Linked DNA regions of Elephas maximus indicus. The protein of the gene in region 2 purifies or fractionates together with the protein of the main gene of each other region. This does not show direct contact. Links are inferred from orthologs where the notes say so. Each region holds a gene or a part of one and is shown on either strand. Other genes may lie near its edges.

Region 1 (7,539 bases), on a different chromosome or scaffold from region 2:
AAAAATGTTATATTGGCAGCTGCTATGTTATATACATATTCTTGACAATTAAAAAAAATTTACCTTGGGTTTGGTGTGCTTCTCCTAGGTTGTATGAATAATTCTTTTCTGGCACTCTCTTTCCTACCTCAGGCCCTTTGCCCACGCTGATCCCTCTCCTGGAAAGCTTTCCCCTGATTCTTTGCAGAGCTGACTCCTTCTCATCCTTCAGTTCAAATGCTATCTCCTTAGAAAGATCTGCCCTGAACATCCGCTTCAAAACTTCTTCTCATCTATTTCCATATTTATTTCCTTCCCAGCACTGATCACAATCTGTAATTTTCTTGTTTATTTATTTACTTCTTTGTATCCTCCACTCTAACGTCAGCTCCTTGGGGGCTGGGATCTTGCCCACTGATGTCATTATCTACCCCCAGCATCCAGCACAACACCAGGTATACAATAACTATCTGTTGAACAGATGAACTTGTCTAACAAGATGCACACCAATGTTGTAAGGCTGTGGACATACATACATGGTTATCTTAATGCGACAGCCTAACTTAAAAACCATCTAGGACTTCAACTGTGGCCCTCATAGTAGCCCATGTTTCATAATAAGTTGCTCAGGGCTTAGGAAGGGCCACAGTGCAGCCTGGGGGTGCCCCAGTGATGTCACACAGGACTAGATTCTCTAATCCTTATCATTCTATGACAATCTTCTAAACAGCTAAGTTTTTCATGATACGATATGGTTGGGGGGGAGGGAGGAAGGAGCACTAGGATGGGGGGGCTCACACCCCCCAAACAAAATTAGTTTGGGGGCATTATCAGTTCACATGTACTACTCCAGGAGCGAGTGGGGAGCAGATGCCGTAATTTGGACTAAGCTAAAAAAGAGAGAATAGAAGAATGGGGAAAAGAAAGGTGAAGAAGATGGAGAGTGAACAGAAGAAAATGAGAAGAGCGATAAGGAAGAGAAAAGAGAGAAGAGAAAGACAACTGAAGAAGATGTGTGTGAGAAAAAGGCGTGAAACACGTAGTGAAAGAGCAGGAGGTAGGAAGACTCGAAGCTGTTCTGCTTGGCTTTGTAACTCTTGGGTAGTTAACTGGCTTTGGTGTGAATGGATGGATGGCTCAGGTGAAGGGGATTCTAGGTCTCCGCCCCCCCCCCCCCCCCCCCCCGCCAGAGGTCACTTAAATTGCTGAGATTGTTTTGAGAGGCCCAGGCAAGGCTGTCTCAGGATGATTCTCCTGGGTGCTTTCACTATAGTAATTTGGCAACAAAGAGTGTAAACCTCTTCTTTAAGTCATGGTTGTGAGAAAAGGGGAAGAGAGTATTGCTGACCAGTTTAAGTTTTTATACTCTCCACCACAAACCCTGTCCTTACCCCAAACGTCTCAATTACTAGGTTAATAGCACCAAGTTAAATTCAGGACATTAAAGCCAACTTTCAGAAATATTTTCTGTTAAATGAAATTCAAACAGATTTCTAAAGCAGAGTAGCATAGTTTTATATCTATAAAAATTACTAAAATACAGTTATGGCAATATATACCCTACTGATGTTCCACAAAGGAGCCCTGGTGGCACAGTGGTTAAGCATTCCACTGCAGACCAAATAAAAGGTTAACAGTTCAAACCCACCATGGGAGAAAGATGTGGCAGTCTGCTTCCATAAAGATTTACAGCCTTGGAAACACCCTATGGGGGTAGTTCTACTCTGCCCTATAGGGTTGCTATGAGTCGGAATCAACTCAACAGCAATGGTTTTGGTTTGGTTTTTGATGTTCCACAAAAACTTACTATGAAGAGCCCAAATATGTGTACAACACCCAGACAAGGCTGAAAAGAGAAAAACAAACAAAACCCTTTAACTCTTTTTCAATTTTTTTCCTTCTAAATATTTAAAATTTTTCCTTAGTATGAGATTTAATGACAGGGATATTATAATAGCAAGCATATTTAATCAGAAACTATTGACACTTTTGTTCTGAATTTTACAACGTTAATCTTATAATTCATGAGTTTTTTAGTTCATACCAAAATGTATCCAGAAATAAATAACAGGAAGGTGCAGGTTTATTGGTAGTCTGTGGTACACTGTGAAGATTACTTATAAATCTCTCTGTGCTCGTATTTTCTATTTTTCTCCCACTTCTGCTACAATTTGGCCAGATCCTTCTATAAGTGTAGAGCAGAGAAAAGAAAGGGGTGGAAACCTAAAGGAAGGGCACAGAAAGATGGGCAAGACCTTCAAGTTCTCTGTGGCCCACTACTGCCGTTGATGAACCAGCTTCTACCTCATGAATAAGAAAATTAGTTTTTTTTTTTAAGAGCATGCCAAATCATGGTTGCCACATGGGCTTTTCTATTTCAGAGTGATAACGACTCCACCATCATGCTAATTGTGCTATTACTTGTCTGACGTATTAAGGATTTCAGTAGGGCAGAATTTCGAAGATCTTCGTTCCAATTTCTTTTGTTGGCAGGTGTGTGGAGAAGTAATTAGGAAATGTGTCCTCAGATGGGATCAAATGCATAAGTGAATTTTTTTACTTTGCATATCTGGAAATGATCCATCTTCATCTTACTCTAAGAAATCTCAAACCCAAAAATATTGGGTAGAGTGATTTTGGGGTTCCTTGGAGATTTGACCAGTCAGTGACCATTTGGCAATACTGTTTGATACTGTTGTTGCTGTAGTTAGGTCCCAGGTCTAAAAGTGGAAGGCACAGAACCTTCCCACAAAAGACAAATTGAAAAAATTAGACAGGGCTCTTACAACTTTAAAAGCAGCTAAATAATGCTAGCTGAATGACAGAATGACATAATAAATAACTCTCTTTTGATCTAAGAGTTGAGGCAACAAAGTGGTTTTAGGAGATAAAGAGTACCAGGGTGCAAAATGCTACAGTAAGCTCCGGAGATAAAATGGAAAGGCCTCACCACAAACTTACTTTCCTATTGGCCAGGGCTCAATTTGACTAATATTTTCAGGTGTTCTTTTTAGAGTACCTCCCTCCTACAACGAAGTATTTGATTTTTCTTTGCATACACCAAAGCATCTTTTAAAGCTCCACGGATTTTTCTTTTAAACTTCTGTGACTGCAAAAGTGGTGTAGATGAAACCCACTAACCGGTTAATCCTCCAACAAGAGAAAGGCGCCACAGCCAATGGGAACGTGCTGGTGATGTATTGCTCTTAGTTCTGATTCATTGGCCACCTAAGGTTTGTCATTCTACCCCCAGCGTCTGCAAGTAGCGTGGGTCACATTTTCTGAAGTCTAGCTAGCTGAACTGGATTTTAGCCATCTGCACGTGCAGTTTCAACTAAGTTTAGCTCATCTCTAATTCTTAATAGAAACAGCTGTTACGCTTCTGATTCTCCGGATTTTGAACCCTCCGTTTCTTAACCCCAAAGGAGGTCGTTGTAGGTCCCCTGTTACAGAATAACGTTATGTCTAGCATGTGCGAATGTGGAATCCCATGAGTTACAAACTGAAAACCTGCCAGAAACTCAGAACACGTGCCCCGTGCGTGAATAAGTTGCACCCGAGTGTGGGTGGGTGGTGGTAGGGTGTGTGTGTTCTTGCTCTTTGGAGAGCGAGGTGTTTGGCCGTGGCACCACCGTGGGCCTCCCTGGGTCACCTGGGGTAGGATGGCTCTGTGAAAACCGGGGCACCGGGGAAGGGGGTCTGGTTGGGGCACGAGACCAAACGAGCGTCCTAAGAGCAGTGGCCAGGCCGCGACTAAATCAGAGAAGGGTGGAAAGCTCGAGGTCAGTCCTTGGGACTCCGTGGGCGGCGTCTCAGCAGGGACTGTCGAGGGGCAGGGAGTGGGGCGTGCATCTGCAGACAGGTGGAAACTCCAGGAGAGGAGGTGCGGCCGCCCTGGGGGGCTCTTCCGAGATCCCCTAGGGCCGAAAGCCGGGCTTTGAAAGGCTCTCGAATCCACCGGGCCCGAAGAGTAGCACATTCCATTCAAGCTCCGGTCCCAGTTCCTATCCGGAATCCGGACGCTCCCCTCGGCCTCGGCCTGGAGCCTCGGTGGGGAGGTGGCAGCAGCGGCAGGCGAAGCATGGTAGTGACGTCATTCAGGGCCGCCCCTCCCCCTCCCCCTCCCCCTCCCCCTCCCACCGGCGCTAGCCGCAGTTCCTGCCCAACGACATCCGGGTCTCTCCAGCTGCTCCGCCGCGCCGCAGCTGTAGCGGCGGCGGGGCGGGGCGGCACGGGGCGGGGGAGGGGCAGCGCGGCTCCGTCGTGAGCGCGCCTGCGCGGGGGCGCGCTAGAGACAGCGGCGGCGCTGGGGACGGGAGCGCGCGCGGGAGCGAGGGAGCAGTGGTCTCGGCGCCGGCCCGGCCCGGAGCTTTGGGAGCTCGGGCGCCTACGGCTCCGGAACGGGTGGCCGGGGTGGGGGGTGGGGGGGCGCCAGGCAGGTGGGGCGCGAACGCGATGAATCCTCGGGTCTTCCTCCTCTTTCTCCGGGACCCGCTCTCCGTCTCCCGCTCCAACGCCCGGATGATCTGAGCCGCGAGGGCGCCGAGAGCCGGGGGCCCGGACGCAGCCCGGCTCCTCCCCGCCTCCGCCCCCTCCCCTGCCTGACCCGGCGGACCGCCGCCGAGGTGACCCCCTCCCCGCCCCTCCCCCGGCTGCCGCCGCCGCCTCGGCCGACCAGGGACCTGCCAGTCCGCGGCTTGCTCCGGGTAAGCGCGGCGCTCGGGCTGAAGGCGGGCGGGCGAGCGGCGCGGGCCTGCGCAGCGGCGGCGCGGCCAGGCCTGGGGCCTGTAAACAAGCCGGGCGTCTGCCCGGGCGCTCCCGAGAGGAGACGCGACAACTCCACCCCCTGGCCGGCCTCCTTCCCGGAGCCAGGCGGCGGGCGCCGAGGGGTTAACGCTCCGCGAGGGCGGGGGCGGGGTGTTTGTGGTGGCGGCGCTGGGAGGGAGCGCGACCCTCCCACGGCCCGGGCGGGGTGTTTGCGGCGGCCGTGCGGGCGGGGGCCGCGGGTCGGCCTGGCCCGAGAGCGGCCGGCGGAACTTTTTCGGAGCGAGGAGCGGGCCTCGCGGCTGCCGCCCCCCCACCCGGCCGCGCTGCCCTGGGCTCCAGCCCCTGGGAGGGAGGCCGGGAGGAAGAAAGGGAGAGGCGTCCTTTGGACCGGACTAGCCCTCGAAACACCAGATTCTGGGGGATTTGCTTCAGGCTTTATAGGGAGCAGGGCTGAGAGTGAGGCTGCTTCAGAACTCGAGTCGGTGACGCCTCCAATTCATTCATGTTAAGACATCGAACCGAATCATTGAAGTAAATTATACTGATTTTTCCTCCTCGTCTTTTTAATCGTGGAAATTGTTTGGGTAAAAGTTCTTAGTGTTAGAGCTTGGTTAAGGTATGGTTCTCTTCTGCTTTGTAGATTTTAAATAAACTTGGAGCCTTTTCTTGAAAGACAGCTGGCTGTGGAGAGCCTTCTACCAACTGCAGTTTTAGATATCTTTTGGAAATTTCATCACCTGAGGTATTTTCGTTCTCTCTTCTCCAGCACCACATGGTACTTACAAATCCGCAAAGGTCGTGCTTCAGTTGTCCAAGCCAGGAAACATATGCGCCGCCCCCGGTCCCAAGTTTTCTGCTAATTGGAATAATGAGCAGACTGTGTTTTAAGAAGTTATTGAAAGAGTATGGGAAGTGTAAAAATCCATGGGAGATGTGTATTTCTTTCCCAGAATAAATGATTTTGAGATTATTGAAAGAGATTAGAAATTTTTTTAATTGTTCTTACGAAAAAAATCTAAAAACTTTTCAGACTTGCACGTTCTGGTTTTAAACACAACCATGTTTCAAGTACAGAGAGCGCTGAAGAGACAGAGAATTTATTTATTTAAACAGTACTCTGCTGAGCCTTAGGGGCTTCAGAGCTCTCAGGAGTCCAGCTGGCAGAGCTTGGTCCCTAACTCCCTTTTTAACTGGAACAACTTCACTTTTATATTTTTATCTTTTTAATATTGGGCCTCTTCCAAAGATTGTATTTCTGTAACTTTACAGAAGAGAAAATAAGAGTAAGAAGATAGTGACCACTCTCTGAAACTTTCATTCCTCCTCCCCTCCCCCCCAGTTTTCTAACCCTGGATGTTAATTACTTAATGTTTCTTTTGCCAATAAGTAATTTGAAGCACACAGTAACATTTGTTTCATGAAATTATAGTTCTGTTCTTATGTGTAACTCGCGTATATCTGGTTAAACATTCAGTCATGTTGGAATGATTAGTTTTAACCTGCAAGTTTACAGCAAATACCACATTATTAAAATTATAATGAACTGCACATGGAAGTTGCTTAAGACATTTTTTATTTGATAAACATTTTCCTCATCAGTGAAGTAATTTTGTGTGAAGTAATTATGTGGAGCTGTATATTAAGACTAATAGTTTGAAGTTAGCTACTTCAATCTGTGTTATATTTGAGAAATACTATGGTTGAGTGCCAGAGTCATCAACATTGCTTTTTACATGGGTTGTATCTTTTTATATTTAGTATGAAGGGTAGAAGTGGTGACTATACTTACAGTATGATCTTTTTTTTTTTTAGTCAGTATGATCTTTTGAAGGGGACACTACTAGGAGGCAAGAATTGTTTAGTCATGGCTGTGCTCCAAAATAATCTGTGTCCATGGACAAGTCCTTTAACCTTTTGATTCTCGGTTTCCAAAAACCCTAAAGTGAAAGGGGCAGATTATTTTATTTATCAAATGTTAAATTTTTTATTCTCTCATCAACATTATGGAGCCCTGGTGGCACAGTGGTTAGGAGCTTGGCTGCTAACCAAAAGATTGGCAGTTTGAATCCACCAGCCACTCCTTGGAAATCCTATGGGGCAATTCTCCTGTGTCTTGTAGGGGTGCTGAGTTGAAATCGACTTGATGGGCAACCAGTTTGGTTTCTTTTTTTTTTGGCGTCAACATTGTGTGTCCGACATTCAATGTACTATGACCAAATGCCTGGTACGTACTAGGCACTTAGATGCTTCAACATTCTAAAGCTGATTTTCTTTCTGGGTTGTGTTTTATTTAAGAGAACTTTAAGTTGTTCAGTGTTTGTTAGGAAAGATACTCTAGTAAATAAACTTTATTGATTTCTCTGTTGAGATTGGGAAGAAACTCCTGGGAGAAAGGACAGAGATTCCGAGGGACAAAAGATAGCTAAGACAACAGGTTTGAACAAGTGCTCTGCCCTGGGTAGTTTGATATGAAGGACATTGTAAGAGTTTTGCTGACAGTTCATGCTCGGTCTTGCTTATCTTGACTTACTAAACCTTCATTTGAAAATTTGTTCCTAGTGCCTGATTTTTTTTTTCCAAAAAAACCTATAAACCAAATCCAAACCCATTGCTCTCAAGTAGATTCCAACTCAATAGCGACTCTGTAGGATAGAGTATATAACAAATCTATAGCAACATCATTATGTCACATGGTAAATATTGCTCAGCACTTAACTAAAAACCTGTAGTCTTTGAATTTGTTCCGATTAAACCTAGGCTTTATTGTAATGGCTCAGAATGTATAGCTGATTC
Region 2 (7,478 bases):
TGCTCCTCAAACCCCTCTGAGCTAGGGGGTGGGCTAGGAGAAGCCCCCCTGCCCCCTAGGCTGTGGCAAAGTGGCTGCCTTGTCATCATGGGTGATGGTTGCAGGCACTGTCCGGGTTTGGCCCCACCCCATGCCAGGCACACAGTTTCCATTCTCCCCTACTGAATGGGCACCAGGCTGAGGGGCCTGTGCAGGGAGCCTGGGGGAGGGTGAGTCACCTCAGTGAGGGGCAACACCCACCTTCTGGCCCCATCTTCTGCAGGCCGTCCTCGTCACTGCCCAGCCCCTGCAGCTCCTCCCACTGGCTGGCACAGGCAGCAGCCAGCAGCTCTTTCACTGTGTGGACCGCCTGAGATGACTTGGTGAAGCTGAGCTCCCTTGGGGGGCCAGACCCAGGGCCGCACCCCTCCTCCAGGGCCAACCGTAGTGCCAGGAGCTCCTGCACCAGACAAATGCTAGCTGAGGCTCTGCTGGCCAAGCTGTACCTGCCCAGGGGGCAGCTTCACCAGGAGGCCCACAGCCCTTTGTCCCTCCACCCTGCCTGCCTTCACCAGCCTATTCCCTCTCTGGCCCGCAGAGCTGCCCCTCACCTGCAGGAAGCCAACCGAGTCGGCCTCAGGGACCTGGCTGAGGTTGTGGCGGGCTCGGCTCAGGCGGCTGCGCTGTTCCTCTTGCCGCCGCAGGTCGCCCTGGGAGCGGCCCAGCATGGTAGTCTCCCCCTCCTCAATGAAGCCCAGCACCTCGGCCTGGAACCTCTGCAGGGTTACCTCAGCCTCCGCAAACAGTCGGTTCACCCTCTCCCGCTCCGCCACGGCTGCACTCTGCACAGGACGACATGGGAGCAGGGTTGACGGCTTTGGATCCATCTTTCCCCAACACCACCCCCTCGCCCATTTGTCTTGGAGGTCACAGGGAGCAGCCCGAGCCTGACTGGGTCTGTACCAGGTCAGGGAGGTTCTCCTGCCCAGTGGATCATTGGACTGGATCATTCTACCCTGAGTGCTCTTCCCGTCAAGACCCTGCTGCAGGAGTGGGAGGGGGCTCTGACCTTGATGAGGGCCACGGTGCGCCGAGACTGGGCAATGCCAGCACCCAGCTCATCCATGCGGTCCTCCACGGCGCTCAGGACTTTGGGCTGCTCGGCCTGTGGATGACACCCCGTAAGGACACGGTCTGGCAGATGCCACAGCCCAGCACCAGGGGCCCTGCCAGGGGAGAGGAGAGGGGTGACCAGGAGTGACTTTGCACACTGGTTGGACTGGGAGTGACCATGATGTCTGATAAAGCCTGCAGCAGCTCCAGGCAGATGGAGCAGATGTGCCTCCAGTCCAGGCTGGTGCCATTCCCAAATGCCAATGGGGGGCACAGGCCGGTAGTGGGCTGTCTGCCTCCCTCTCTGACCAGTGGGGTCAAGTTCAGGGGCCATTGGTGGTCTCCTATGGATGAGAGGCTAGAGTTCATTTGAGAACTTCCTTCAGTGAGGAGGAGGCAGGGGTGAGCGAGTTCCAGAGGGAATGTATCAGAAGACACCCAGCTATCCTGGGGATCAATGTCCCCTAAGGGTCTGGGTTCACCATCTAGACCTGAAAACAGGGGATTCCAGGCAAATCCCTTGGGTCTTATGAGTCACAGCTCCAGGCAGGAAAAAAAAAAAAAAAAAAAAAGGAGAGACGGAAAATCCCAAGGCCAGAGGCGCCAAGTCCGGGCTGGAATCCAAAGGAAACTGGGGGCGGAGGTAGCGGGACAGGCTGAGCACATGCTCCCCACCACCGGCTCCCAGAACAGCTGGACAGAGCGGATCTGCGTGCCCTGATGCCGGCAGAGCCTGTCGCCTGCCACACCCATCCACACCCGCTGCCTCAGCCCAGGACAAATCTGAGATGGGACCGTTAGCCCTGTGCATCCGCGCGGAACCATGCGCCGGGAACCCTACGGGCCTAACCCGGCTCCTTTACCGGCTTAGACCCCGTTGACCCCGCTCCGATACCCTGCCCGCCCTTCCCTTCCCTTTAGAGTTCACACTGGCTTCCTATCTCCCCCATTTCCATCTCCACGGCCGTGAGCTGATGACATTGTCAAAGTTGGAAGGGAACGCAACGATCCTCACTATTTAGAGGAGGAAAGTAAGGCCCTCCCGGCCCCCCCTGGATTCCCCGCCCGGCCGCGGGGACTGCCGGCTCCCACCTCCTGGAGCGCGCGCTCCTGCTCCAGCGGCACCAGCTCGTGGCCGCGGTGCTCCTGGACGGCGCAAGCCTCGCACAGGCACACGCGTTCCGCGCGGCAGTAGCGCTCGAGCGGCCGCAGATGGCGCGGGCACAGGCTTTCCTCCAGCCGGCGCAGCGGCGGCACCAGGCGGTGTCCGCGCAGCGCGGGGCTGCGCTCGTGAGGGCCCAGGTGTGCCGGGCAGAAAGAGGCGAGACAGGAGAGGCAGGAGAACGCGGCTGGCAGGGCGGCGCCCTCAGGGCACGCATCGCAGCGCACCAGCTCTTCGGTTGCCGGCCACGACTCAGGGGCGCAGGGAGCAGACGGCTCCGGGGCGTTGGGCGGCGCGCTGGGCGCTGATGGCTCAGGAGCCAGGCCCGGAGCGGGGCCCTTGCCCGGGCCCGAGCCCAGGCGGAGCTGCAGCAGCTCGGCCAGCGTGTGGTTCTTGCGGAGCTGCAGGCCGTCGGGGAAGGGCTCCTGGCACAGAGGGCAGCGCGCAGTGCTCCCCGGACCGCCGGCGCCGCCCGCGCCGCGGTGCGGCCAGAGAGCACCGAGGCAGGCCAGGCAGAAGTTGTGGCCACAGGGCAGGGTCACCGGCTCCCGGAGCGGCTCCAGGCAGATGGGGCAGCTGAAGGGCCCGGGGCTGTCCATAGCTCCAAGGCTGCCGGGGGCACCGCCTGTTCTGCTCCCGCCTGGGAGGGACCGACCTGTTCGCGCCCGGCACCGCCCTCCCGGGATGGAGGCCAAGGGTCCAGCCCCGCCGCCTGGCTCGGCCCGCCCCTCAGCACCGCCCATCGCGGACACTCAGCCCAGCCCAGACTGCGCGGCCAACCCCTCTGCAGGAACCCCCGCCGGCTGGGAGGGGCTGCTGAAAGAGGTTTGCGGGAGGGGATGGCAGAGAATGCGAGTGGCACACCCTAGAAGGAATTGGAAGTTCACACTTGCATTCCCTCCCTACGCTTCCATCCTTGGCCGGGTCCGGGCCTCGGGAGGCGCTGGGCGGGCCTTCGGGCTCCAGACCTCTCCCCGCCGACGGCTCAGTACAGTTCCGGAGCTGCTGGCTGCCGAGAAAAGAAACTGCTGATGGGCGTGTGTTTTTGCCGTTTAGCGATTCTATTTTTTTTTATTTAGCCCTGGTGGGGAACTCAGGACTTTTCTAGACCTAGAACGGAAGCTGACATCATTCTCCAAGTCGCCCTCAGTGAGGAGTTCAGTCCTGGTCAGTGGAATTTATCTATTTTTTTCTCACGGGCACCTGCGGGAGTCTGAGGCTGGGATTCTCCAAGCGCAGGCATTTGTTAAAAGGCCTTATCTGTGCGCTTTACGGGGTGCATTGTGTGTAAATCATGTCTCAATAATGTTGACTAAAAAACCAGAATGCTAACAAATAAGGTAGCATTAGATTATAACCTGAGGTATAAAATAAATATCCGTGAGTCCATACTGGTGGAAATAAATTATGGAATAAATAAATAGGGAAGAAGAGAAAAATTTTCTCATTCAGAAGAATTCCAAATACTTTTTGTAGCTGCTCTGAGGTGAAGCCCAACTCCCCGGTCCTTAAGTGTGGGCTGCGTAGTGACTTCCTTCCCAATAGCACAAAATGTAAACTGGGGGGGGGGGGAGTAACTTTATGTGGAGAAACCTGACAAACGTGACCTCAGCCAGGTGATCAAGGTTGACATCAACAGTGATGTCATGCAGATGGTAGGCACCTTGATATGGTGTGATGAGAATGGCACTCTGCCTCTGTGGGCTTCCTTCCAAAAATCCATAACCCCAGTCTAATCAAGAGAAAAACTCAGACAAATCTCAGTTCAGGGACAGCCTACAGAATACCTGACCAGCACTCCTCAAAATTTTCAAGTCATCAAACACAAGGAAAGTTTGAGAAACTGTCACAGCCAAGAGGAGCCTAAGAAGACAGGACAACTAAATATAAGGGGGTGTCCTGAGTGGGATCCTGTAACAGAAAAAGGACATTAGGGAAAACCTAAGGAAATATGAGTAAAGTATGAATAGGATAAAGAATGAATCAATATTGGTTCTTCAGCTGTGACGAAAGTATGAACGTTCGTGTATGAGTTTTTGTGTGGACATACGTTTTCGACTGTCTTGGGTATATACCTAGGAGTGGAATTTATGGTAACTCTGTTTACTGTGTGAGGAACCGGCAGATTGTTTTCCAAAGTGGCTGCACCATTTTACAATTCCAGTAGCCTACATTCTCACCAAAACTTGTTGTTTTCCGTTTTCCGATAATAGCCATCTAGTAGGATAAAGAGGTTTCTCATTGTGGTTTTGATTCGCATCTCCCCGAAGACTAACAATGTCAAGTATCTTTTCGCGTGCTTACTGACCATTCGTATATCTTCTTTGGACAAACGTTCATTCTGAACATTTCCCCATTTTTTACTTGTGTTATTTGTCTTTTTATTCTTGAGTTGTAAGAGCTCTTTATATACTCTAGATTCAAGTCCCCTTCCAGATATATGATCTTCAGAATTTAAAAAAAAATTGTGTTTTCAATTTCTTTGTTTTTTAATTTTATTGTTTTAGGTGAAAGTTTACAATGCAAATTAGTTTTTCATTCAAAATTTATACGCAAATTATTTGGCAACATTGGTTGCAATCCCGGAATGTGTCAGCACTCTCCCCCTTTCCCTTTCCACCCTGGGCTCTCCCTGTCTGTCAGTCCAGTTTTCCTGTTCCTGCCTTCTCTTCTTTGCTTTTGGGCAGGAGTGGCCCATGTGTTCTATTTCTTGATGGTGTCCTTTGAAGCACAAAAGTTTTTATAAGTTTGATGTCCAATTTATCTATTTTTTTCTTTTGTGGCTTGTGTTTTGGGTGTTCCTGCCCTGGTTTTGGGGCCTGCTAACTCCTTTCCTGCCCCAGGAGAGCAGGGGTCCCCAATCTAAACACTTTATTCCAGAGGCAACAAAGCCCTGCTTTCTCCAGGGAAACAGTAATTCTAATGCTATTATGTTATCATTTTGGCACTTATATATTATAAAAGCAACATGTTCTAGAGAGCCTCTTTCACCTCCATGAACTGTTGAGCAGAAGAAAGACCGCACCTTTTTAGAGCCAGACCTGGGTCCCAATGCCTGCTTCACTACCTTGCGGCTGTGTGACCCCAGGGAAGGTTATTTAACCTCTCTGAGCTTGATTTCCTTGACCGCACAATTAGGAAATGAATATACTTACCTCGTAGGGTTTTTGTGAGGATTAGATGAGGTAACACCTGTAAATCCTTTAGCACAGGGCTTCTAAACCTAGGCACTATTGCCATTTGGGCTGAATAACTCTCTGTTGTGGGGGGATGTTCTGGGCATTGTAGAGGTTTAGCAGCATCTCTGGCCACAACTGACTAGATGCCAGTAGCATCCTCCCAGTCATGACAGTGAAAGTCGTCTCCAGACATTGCCAGATGTCTTCTGGGGGACAAAATTGCCCAGTTTAGAATAGCTGTTTTAGCACAAGGCCTGGCCCATGGCAGGTGTTCCCCCTTGCTAATACAGGGCAGCTATTGTTACTCCACTTCCTGCCAATTAGACTCTAAATCATGACAACCCCATGTGCATCAGAGTGGAAATGTACTCCATAGGGTTTTTAATGGCTGATTGTTTGGAAGTACACCCATTCCTCGCTTATTGGCATGGTTAAGTTCCAAAAACAAGCCCATTATGTGAAAATGGAAGATGACCACATCAGATCACCATACAGTATGTGGGATGCATGTGTCCCTCTGGACCTGAGAGGCAGAAAATATAGGTGGGTGCTCTCTGTCCCACTGGTCATGAAAACATTACTGCCAGACGTACATCGTTAATGGGCAAAACTATTATCTAAATGTGAAATGTTGGATAATGAGATAGTTGATAAGTAAGGAGTAGGTGTAGATAGTCAGGCCGTTCTTCTGAGCCACCTGTCTTAGGCGGGTTCTCTAGAGAAGCAAAACTATTAAAGCGTATAAATATATATAGAGATTGTGATTGTAGAGGCTGGAACATCCCAAGTCCGTGGATCAGGACAGTGGCTTCTCTCGAGTCATGTAGCTGCAGGGGCTGGCGAACCCAAGATTGGCAGGCCAGAGAGCAGGGCTCCTGCTCTCAGGCTGTGAAGATTGATGAATTCCAAGACCTGCAGATAAGCTGATAGCTCAAGTCCCAAGAGCCGAAGGAAGGTCAGATGAAAGGAGGCAGCCACAGGGTCCACAGTGAGCAAAAAGCCAGAACATCTGCTTATATTTGGATGCAGGCCACACCCTCAAGGAAACTCCCTTCCAACTGATTGGCTACTCACAGCAGATTCCATCATGGGAGTGATCACATATAAACACTGAGAATCATGGCCCAGCCAAAAATCATACTACCTCTGGGTAGACTTAAACCTCCACAACCTTTCCATTAGCAGCCGAGCATGCTAACTATCTGCACCACCCAGGAGCTCTACTTTCAATAGATCAGCCATTGAAAACCCTATGGAGCACAATTTCTACTCTGACACACATGGGGTCTCCCTAAGTCAGAACTGACTGGATGGCAACTGGGTTATTACAATTACTCGTATCCTACAAGAAGGTAGGACCCCCTACCCTTCACCCCACACCTGGGCAGAGCCCACTTCCCTCTGTAGACACCAAAGCTTTGTCCTCCCAAACCTCTTATAGACTCCTTTGTTTCTTGCTGTATTTCCTTTGGCCCCAGTCAGCCAGCAGGCTTTTTTGATGGCCTGGGGGGGTTGGAACTGACTCGACATCAACGAGTTTGGCTTTTGGAAGCCCTGGTGGCTAGTGGTTAAGTGCTACAGCTGCTAACCCAAGGGTTGACAGTTCAAATCCGCTAGGTGCTCCTTGGAAACTCTACGGGGCAGTTCTACTCTGTCCTATAGGGTTGCTATGAGTCGGAATCGACTCGACGGCACTGGGTTTGGTTTGATTTTTTGTTTTGGGGTGTGATGAGCCGTGGGGGCAACAAAGAAGAATAAGGCAAGGAGGTGTCCAGCCAATCGGGGAAATGTGTCCCAAACCTGAATAACCACACTCCTGGCTGGGGGAAGGGCACCTATGAGAGAGACGATACATTCTGGGGGTCCATGGAAAGGCTGGGGGACTGCAGAGGTCCATGTGACGGAGGTGCCATCTCAACCGGGCTTTCTTGGACTGGTAGGACTCAAAAGTGCAGAAAGCAGGGCGGGAAAAGGCCTTCCAGGCAGAGGGAAAAACTGAGGGACATGGCCTGGGTGTGCACAGTTTGGCAGGAAGGCAGGGTAAT

The links.
Region 1: the proteins of TRIM47 (region 2) and PPM1A purify together in Homo sapiens (affinity purification with western blotting; 3 studies listed by BioGRID, with this or other methods). This does not show direct contact. The link is inferred for Elephas maximus indicus from reciprocal best matches to the Homo sapiens genes TRIM47 and PPM1A.

The regions. Positions count from the first base shown.
Region 1 is NC_064828.1:72,637,701-72,645,239, forward strand, and holds the start of PPM1A (protein phosphatase 1A), read left to right. Parts: upstream 1-4,532; 5' UTR 4,533-4,685; intron 4,686-4,938; exon of another isoform or gene 4,939-5,277; intron 5,278-5,386; exon of another isoform or gene 5,387-5,488; intron 5,489-7,539. UniProt on the Homo sapiens protein: Enzyme with a broad specificity. Negatively regulates TGF-beta signaling through dephosphorylating SMAD2 and SMAD3, resulting in their dissociation from SMAD4, nuclear export of the SMADs and termination of the TGF-beta-mediated signaling.
Region 2 is NC_064837.1:66,121,386-66,128,863, forward strand, and holds the start of TRIM47 (E3 ubiquitin-protein ligase TRIM47), read right to left. Parts: upstream 3,020-7,478; 5' UTR 2,998-3,019; coding exon 2,185-2,997; intron 1,145-2,184; coding exon 1,049-1,144; intron 822-1,048; coding exon 591-821; intron 440-590; coding exon 241-439; intron 1-240. UniProt on the Homo sapiens protein: E3 ubiquitin-protein ligase that mediates the ubiquitination and proteasomal degradation of CYLD.